2 linked regions of the Coturnix japonica genome follow. The protein of the gene in region 1 binds, or shares a complex with, the protein of each later gene. Links are inferred from orthologs where the notes say so. Each region holds a gene or a part of one and is shown on either strand. Other genes may lie near its edges.

Region 1 (4,470 bases):
GCCCACTGTTGTGTTCTGGGTGCACAGAGAGGCAATGGTGGCATTGCACAGGGCAGCAGGGTTAAGGTGCTGAGCCCAGCCCCTCCCAACCCCATCTGGGGCTTAGGTCTCTGCATGAGCAGGGATTGCAGCCCCACTCCCTGTCTGCACCCTGAGCTAGCCTTGCCCTGTCCCAGGCTGAGCAGCTCCATGGGCACTCCCTGGTGTGTGAAGGAGAGGTGAGGGCAGAGTCCCAGTGCACACCAGCCCCAGTAGCACTGATATGACTGCCAGGAATACCATCACCAAACACCACAACCACACGCCCAGGCGCAGCGTCACTTCATGCTGTCACCACACATTATTATTTCCTGTTGTCACCAGGCACACCCATGCCATGGGAATTACCCTCCCATGGGGCTAACAGGTCCCAGGAAGGTACCTCGAGGACAGAGGTTTCATAGGGCAGGTATTGGAAGATGGGTGCGTTGTCGTTACGGTCATCCACGATGATGGTCAGGCGGCTGGTGACCTGTGGGGAGAGCTTGGATAAGGGAAAAGGAGCCGGCCAGCACTGCCCCCCTGGGCAAAGCCCCACTGAGCATCACAGTCAGCATTACTGAGACCCTGCGGAGACCCCACTGTGATCCCTGTTCCCACTACTCACTGCTGTATTGATCCCGTCAGACAATATGACAAAGATGTCGAGCTTGGCCTTGGACTGGGGAGGGAAAGTAGAGCTCAGTCAGGGCAGGCAGAGCTCAGCCTCAGTCCGAGGGCTCTGCCATTCATCCCCATGGCCCCATCTCCCAGTCCCTGCTCTCACCTCACGGTCCAGCAGGTTTTTCAGTGTCACCACACCTGTCTGTGCATCAACTTTAAAGTAGAAGGAATCTTCCCCAGTGATGTCGTAGGTGATTGGGTCCCCATCTAAGTCATAGGCTGACAGACTGAAAGCAATCGCGCCTGGGGACAAGGGGAGAAAGGCATCGTCATCCCCAGGCTCTCCCCCCATCCCAGCAGCCCCCCCGCAGCCGCCCCTCACCTATCGGCAGGTCCTCAGGCACGTACACGAGGGTCATGTTGAAGATGGGAGCTGTGTTTCCTGAAGCTGCAGGGAGAACATGAGCTGAGTGCAGGGGATCTCCCCCTCCTCACCCCACAACTCCCACTCCTCACCCTCCCCTGCCCAGCCCACAGTGCCACTTTTGGGGGTCATGGATGCCCCCAGGGAAATGGGATGGAGCTGGAAGCGTCTCTGATGCTTCCCTGCAACCCAGGCCTGCACCAAGCAAAGTCCTCACCTGCTGCCAGGAGGAAGGGGAGCAGCAGCAGCGGGTGCCATGCCATCCTGCCCAAAGCCTGTGGAACACAGAAGAGAAACTGGGGCATGTTCCGAGCCCCCCCACCATGCCCACTGGAAGAGCATGGGATGGGACTGAGCTGCCCAAGGGAACAGGTCCCATCCCATGGGGATACAGTGGGGGGATGGAGCTGGTCTGTAGGTTCTGGTGACCTCAGGAGTATCTGGGGACCCCAAGACCAGCTCCTGAGCACAGCTGAAGGCTGAGTCACTCCAGATCACTCCAAGCCCCACATGGAAGCCCCAGAGAGAGCTGTGACACCCCACAACATCCCCCTCTCTTACATCACCGCCTATGGGCAGCCCCCACAGCTCACCCCCTCCAACAGACATTCCCCCACCCCAAACCCAGACTGCAGTGCCCATGGGGGGTCGTGCTGGGATCCCTTACCTGCAGGCACCTAGCCGGGATGCTGCCGGCAGCTATGCCGTGCTTGCACCCTGGCAGCACTGCAGAACTTTGACTCCTGAAGTAAGCAAGTTCATCAATGATTAACTGCAATTAAGGGGTGAGAAACTGCTTTCTCCATTCTCCTCCCTGCTGCTCATCACCCAGCTCTGGCCCAGCCCAGCAACTGCTCCCCAGCTCCAGCCCCCTGTGCTGGGGACCATCCCCGTGGCTCATCCACCCCAACCCGCACCCTGGGGACTCTGCCTGTAGGGCTGCAGGGGGACCCCAAACCCAGGGCACTGGGGAGGGGCTGAGGAACTGCCTGGCATCCCCTGGGCTGGAGCAGGGAGGTCTCACCAGGACACAGGTGGGCACCGACCCAGTGGAGCTGCCGCTGGGGCCTCGTGCATCCCCCGCTGTGAGGTTCCCTCCCTGGGGGGGCCTAGAGGGCTCAGCTCTGCCTCCCTGACCTACTTCAGCCCTGCTGGGGACAAGGGTGGATTGTGTGGCTCTGCTCATGCAGAAGAAGGCTGGGATGTGAGAGTGGGGGGAGGCACAGACACAGCCTGTACTGGCTCTGCAGGACCTCGGGCCTGGCCCTCTTCCTTCTTATACACTGGGGAGGATCTCAGGGGGCCAGGAGCCCGCACAGCTCTGCACACCCCAGGACACCCAGCCAGGACACCCAGCCTGCTCTAAGGCCCCACTGCACCCCATAAAGGGCCAGGACTGGGGTGAAACTCTTGAGGGCTGGTCCAGGACAGCCCCTACTGCTGAAGGGTCACTGTGCCCTCGTTCCTCGAGTCCCTCAGGCCTGGTGCAAGGCAGCCCACTGCAAACCCTCCTGGACTGTCCCAGGACACCCCCAAACCTTCTAAGGGTTGGCCTGGGATGTCCCCAGCGCCTCCATCCCCATCCCTACCCAGATCCACATCCTATTCCCAGCTCCATCCCTGTCCCCATCCCTGAACCCAGCCCTGTTCCCGTTTCTATCCCTATCCCTTTTCCCATCCCTGTCTCCGTTCCGTTCCCATCTCTGTTCCCATCTCCATCCCTACCCACATTCCCACCCCGCCCTTCCCCCTGTCCCTGTAGTGCGCATCCTCTCGGATCATTACGGCTCTCACCCCGCAGCGCGTTTTAGTTGCGGCTCTTTTAGGCTCATTACGGCGCTGGGGCCGGGTTGGACGCTCCCACCTGGTGGCGGCGCAGGGGGCGGCCGGTTCCATCGGCTCGGGATCGCAGGGGGCGCCGTGAGGCGGGGCCGAGGCCGGAGCGCGAGCGGCACCGGGACGGACACCGAGCCCGGCGGGCCCGGCCGCCGCGCCATGCGAGCGGGCTGAGCCCGGAGCGCGGCCGGGGCACGAACCGAGCGGCCCGAGAGCGGCGGGGGCGGCGCCTCCGGTAGGTTGTGGGGCGCGGTGCCGGGCACCGGAACCGGCGGGGGGGGCGGCGGAGCCGGGGCAGGGCCCAGGCGGTGCGACGGGGGGAGCGGCACCGGGACCGGCACCGGGAGGGCGCTCCGGCGGGGCCCGGTGAGGTGTGAGCGCGGGCCGCACTCGGGGCTGTCGCCGTGTGGGCCGGGCCGGGCTCCGTGCTCGGGGAGCACCGGGCGGCGGGACGTGAGCGGGGACGGAGCGGGGCGGCCATGGCGGCTGTGCCGCGGGGTGGGTGCGCTGTGCTGCGGGTACGGCAGCTCCGTCCCGCAGGGCCCAGCGGTGCGATGCGGGCCGGGCCGTATGGAGGCCGCAGCGGGACGGCACCGAGCGGGGCGACCGCAGCACCGAGCGGCCTCGCTCCCTGTGCCGGCACCCGGAGCCAACGCGGCTCGGCCCGGGGCTGCACGGTGTGCGGTGCGCGGCTCCCGCATCCCGGAGCTGTGCGTGGGCTGGGGCCGGAGCCCCGGCAGCAGCAGCAGGAGGAGGAGGAGGAGGAGCGGCCGTGAGGGATCGGGCTGAGCCTGATGTCAGTGCGCTGCATGGCGGGTAATAATGCACGGTGCAGTGGAAATAATAAGGCCGGCTCAAAATACGGCGAATGCGGAGCGCAGCACCGGGCCTTTGTTGGCACCTTTGGGTGCTGCTTTGAAGGCAGCGGGAGCGGCTCCGTACCAACATTAGGACACGGGGAACCGCGGCCCGGCACGTCCCGGTGCTCGGATAAGGGGCAGCGGGACGTTGTCCTTAACCCCGGTGTGCGGGGTGGCTGCCCGGTGCTGCCCGTCCATCCCCGCTGTGCTCGGCTCGTGGAGCCCGGCACGGCCCGACTGAGGCCCCGCACTGCGATGGGGGTGGGCAGGAAGGGGAGGAAATAAATGGTGAGCGGAGCGCTCGGTACCGCTGCTCCGTTTGTTCCGCTTCTTGCAGGAGCTGAGAGCAGCCGCTGCTTTTTTGTCTGCCCGAGCTGGGCCTCGTCCCACTTGGCCGTGCTGCAGGAGGAGCGGTGCTGCACACAAGGCTGCGTTGCCTTTGGGGTCGGGGCCGTGTTTATGGGGCTCCCGCTGGTTGTCCCCTCGCTGCAGGGAGCAGCACGGCCCCATCTGGCTGCTGGGAGGGATGTTCCCACCGCCCCGACCTGATGTGCTGCACGGCTCCGCTCGGCGAGTGCAGAACAAAGAGCTGAGAGAGGAGACTTTGCAAATCCCCATTGATTTGCACAGTGGAAGCTGCTCGCTGTGTGTTTGTGTCTGCCTGCCTGGGACTGGGGCTCTGCGAGGGGAATTGATCAAGCTGTAAAA
Region 2 (4,313 bases), on another chromosome or scaffold:
CTGCTGTGTGCACAGATCTCCACAACCTCACATCACAGCCTTCCAACAGCTGTTCAGCCCACTCTGCTCCTTTCATCTCTATAAAGGATCTCTTCCCCTGCCACACACCCAAGGTTCAACTCAAAGTTCCTAATGAAATGCTTGCAATAAGCAAAATGTGAAGCATTTCACAAGACAAGAGGACACTACAGGGCGAGGAACTGATCTTTGGTAGCTATTCCAGGCAGCTCCGTGATCTCCTGGAACACCTGCTCCAATTTGATCTCAACACTCAAATTCAGATGTCTTACTTTCTCATTGCATTTGGCACAATCATTTTGTTCTGGCCCCAGATTAAACTTGCACAGATTTTGGACAGGTTCTCTGGGAAGTTTGAGAAAAACAAGGAAATCATGAATTAACTGAGTTGGAAGTGGTTGGGTTTGGTGGGGTTTTTGCTATTGCTATACATATAACCATCAAAAGTGACCAATGGGATAATTCATAAACCCATGAGATTTCTCCTCTTCATCACTTCTAAAGGCTTTAAAGTCTCATGGATAAAGCTTATATTAACAATTTACAATTCTGCATAATACTGTGCATGCATTTTATCAGAGCTATCCAGATCTCATTATTTTCCCGACTTCTTATTTTCAGCCATTTAATGCTCTGTCTCCATTTCATTGTGAAGCTACAGAGGTTTCTGCAATTTACAAATCTACCCTTTGCTTAAATTACTAGAAAACTGTTTTAAGCCACCACTTTGATTTTGGAAATACGTGCTCTTGAAAAACAAAAGCCACCATTAAAACACACGGCATGAAATGAAGTTTGGGGATGATGTTTTCTTCTTGTTTCAATAAACTTTTGTATTCAGTGTTAGAAGAAAGCTTTGTAGTGAGAGAATGAGGGTTTATTTTATCGTTTGCTGTAGCCACCAACTTTACTTACCTGTGTTAGCCTGAAAATTACAAATAGCTTCCATAAATTACAGCCTTGGCTGCATAAACCACCTTTTCTTCAGACTAAACAGATGAACACTTATAGCCCTACATGCAAGACAGTGCAACTGTGTGCATCACATCTATGTCCTAAGCAGGAGGAGGGCTGCCATGGTAGCAAAGTGGAAACGAGAAGTGCTTGGCAAGCAGCATGCCCTGTTTGTGGCTGAAAAGGTCTACACAATAGCACGGATTGAACAAGTTTCTAAGCAAGTCCAGAACAATGAACCACTTCCAAATAACCGCAAAAGACATTAAAAATAATCAGTTATCAAAATTACAAAATGTCTTGTGATCCCAAGGAGAAAAATAAATGGAAACTTGGAGAGATGACAGACCACTGCTCTAAAAGTCCAATGCTAACACGTGTTTTAAAGCAGAAATTTTAACTGCAGTTTTCACACATAACCCAATAACAGGAAGAAATGTGGAATGTCACACAGCATGATGTGGCACATGGAGGACCTTCAGCTGCTGTGTCCCCAGCACAGTGCCTGGTGACTACATTCAGAATTCCCTGTGAGACCCAGGGCTACCTCCAGAGACCATCTGCAACTAAGACAATTCTGAATTTTGGTGCTCAACATCTACAAAAACTTATCAATGCAGTGTTCTTTCATGGAATCACAGAATGGCCTGGGTTGAAAAGGACCTCAAAGATCATCCAATTCCAACCCCCTGCTGTGTGCAGGGTCACCAACCAGCAGCCCAGGCTGCCCAGAGCCACATCCAGCCTGGCCTTGAATGCCTGCAGGGATGGGGCATCCACAGCCTCCTTGGGCAACCTGTGAACAGTGCGTCACCACCCTCTGGGGGAAAAACTTCCTCCTAAGATCCAACCCGAACCTCCCATGTTCCAGTTTAAAACCATTCCCCCTTGTCCTGTCACTGCCCACTCTCACAAACAACTGTTCCCCTTCTGTTTATAAGCTCCCTTCAAATATTGGAAGGCCACAGTGAGGTCTCCCCGGAGCCTTCTCTTCTCCAAGATAAACAAGCCCAGTTCACTCATAGAAGAGAGCATTTACTTTTTTTCTGTCTCCTCTTTCAAGAAATAAATTCCACCTGTGCTGGTCAGTTTTATTATGGGCACATCTTCATGTCTTTGCTCACGCTTCGGCAACTGGATCTGTGCACTAATCTCAGGGTGTGGTGACCTACAGCATGAGCAAAGCAGGGTGGTACAGGAGCACAGTGTGTACCAGCAGGTGGGCCATGGTCAGCCACAGGGTCTCACAATCACTAGATTCTCACCCGAGCCAGAAATGAGAATACTGCAGTGAGGTTGAAATGTCTGCCCAGAACTGAGAGGCAGCGGTGCAAGCCAACATGGAGAACGGCTGTGCTGGATCAGGTCAGGGCACATCTACCTCCAGACCCACAAGTAGGTGTATGGGGTAGAGATCCTCTATAATCCCAGGGTATGTAGATTCAGCACCGAAAATGCTTACTCCCAGTTGTAACTGAGCATCCCCCTCCTGCCTATGAGGCCGCCTTCCCACAACACCTGTCTCTTCTGCTGCTTTTCTCTCCAACGTGGCAGCAAACCGACCTGCACCTCAAGGGATGGAAAATTACCTCTCCTGAAGAAATCTTCACTGTATGGCTTCAGCAGCTTAGTTCCCCGTTTTTCATAAGCTTGGGAGTAAGAAGGAAAGGGAAGGTGAAACTGGCATTGGTGCCGGGAAAGCTTCCCTTGCTGAGTGCCACTTGTCTGCTGCACAAAGGAGGAAATAGCTGAAGCACGGTTATTTATTGCAGGACTTTGCCCCCAGTTCAGCATATTGTCATTTCCAAGTCGGGTGTTCCAGTAAGCAGGACAGCTGATTCTTGCCTGGGTGAACCTTAAACTTCAGTCTCTCCTCTGTGCATGAATCCTTTCAGTTTGCTGGGAACCACTCCCAATAGGAAACCTTTAAGCATCTGATCTTAGCTGCTCCAGCACCACTGACCATTCTGATTGGGTTCTTATCCCTCATCCCTCCCTTTGGTTTTCTACAGCTGCTTCTGCAAGGTCAGAAAATGCTCATCAGTCACTGTACTGTGGGGACTGTGTTTCACGGCACCTACAGCTGAAGGTGAAAAGAACCTAACTGAAATACCAAGGGTCACACACCTAGTGCTTATTTTCTTGTTTCCTAGGTTTAATTACCCACAATGTGTCATAGGAAAGATAAGAAGAAGCCTCCATGTCTTGGGATTCCTGCTGTAGTTCCACATGGGAATAAGGGGTCAGAATTCATGCACAGTGATAAAGAATTGGGTATAATTTGTGTTACACATTACATATCCACGTTACATATTTGTATGTTAACGTTAGCCTCCACCATTTCTGCTATAAAACTTAAACAAATAAACCTGAGATTATTTACATTTTATAGCACAAATAGAGTATAGGGCCATAGGGTTCAGAGGCTTTTAGGAAGAGGCAGGAAACTACAAAGCAGAGCTTTCCTTAACTGTGCAAGTCATTCTTAAGGATTTAGTCTCAAGACAGTTCTTCAGCAGACTTTTATCATCATGTACGTGCTCTGTGTGAATGGCACAACCTCCTCAAGAAGCACTGAATTTTTAGATGTAGGGCAAACATAAGAAAATCAAAGTAAGCACCTTTGGAGCGCCAAGGTAGATATCTAAAACAAAAGCTTGTTGCGCAATTAGACTGCAGGAATACAAACAGACAGATGAACACGCCATATATATTTCTTCAACAAATGAAGCACACTTGCTGAAATTCCCAATGCAGCTTGTTCTGGGGAAGAGAATCACATTTTAAAATAGAACATTTTCAGTGCTTTTGACCAAGACACAATGGCAGCATTTTCTATTTCAGAGAGAGCCAAAGTATTCCTGTACTAGCAGAAATAGGTAAATATGTATGAGATGGGAACTCGAGGAACTCAAGGCGGCCTGAATGAAAGCACAATTCATGGTGCCATCTGAAATACCTATTAGAAGGGAGACAGATTTCCACAGTTAAGTATAGACATACTCAAGTGGCACATATAAATGCTGAAGGAGCAGCAGCTTGGTGTCCAGGCAGACGTACCCTAGGCTCTTTATAAAGCACATGTGAGAGCTGGGCAGGCAGCTTGTTGCAGGCTTCTCCAGCAGAAGTGCTGGAGCTCAGTTTTGAGTCACAGTACAAGAGGTATCAGGTATCAGGAGTTTGCCAGGGGGGAGCAACTCTGTTTACTGCTAAAGACAGTATGGTAAGGGACCCTGTGAGGCACAGGCACATTTGTAGCTGTAGCTGGGTGTAGCAGAGGCACTGGAGTAATTTGTAGCATGCTCATACCTAATGTAGTGAGAAATGCATTAATTAAAATT

The links.
Region 2: CDHR2 (region 1) and MYO7B share a complex: the UniProt entries of both Homo sapiens proteins name them as parts of the IMAC/intermicrovillar adhesion complex. The link is inferred for Coturnix japonica from reciprocal best matches to the Homo sapiens genes CDHR2 and MYO7B.

The regions. Positions count from the first base shown.
Region 1 is NC_029528.1:12,170,507-12,174,976, forward strand, and holds the start of CDHR2 (cadherin-related family member 2), read right to left. Parts: upstream 3,087-4,470; 5' UTR 3,064-3,086; coding exon 2,861-3,063; intron 2,268-2,860; exon of another isoform or gene 2,253-2,267; coding exon of another isoform or gene 2,091-2,252; intron 1,810-2,090; coding exon 1,734-1,809; intron 1,342-1,733; coding exon 1,284-1,341; intron 1,091-1,283; coding exon 1,025-1,090; intron 946-1,024; coding exon 806-945; intron 701-805; coding exon 647-700; intron 512-646; coding exon 422-511; intron 16-421; coding exon 1-15. UniProt on the Homo sapiens protein: Intermicrovillar adhesion molecule that forms, via its extracellular domain, calcium-dependent heterophilic complexes with CDHR5 on adjacent microvilli. Thereby, controls the packing of microvilli at the apical membrane of epithelial cells.
Region 2 is NC_029524.1:1,796,891-1,801,203, forward strand, and holds the start of MYO7B (unconventional myosin-VIIb), read right to left. Parts: upstream 3,009-4,313; 5' UTR 2,562-3,008; intron 1-2,561. UniProt on the Homo sapiens protein: Myosins are actin-based motor molecules with ATPase activity. Their highly divergent tails are presumed to bind to membranous compartments, which would be moved relative to actin filaments.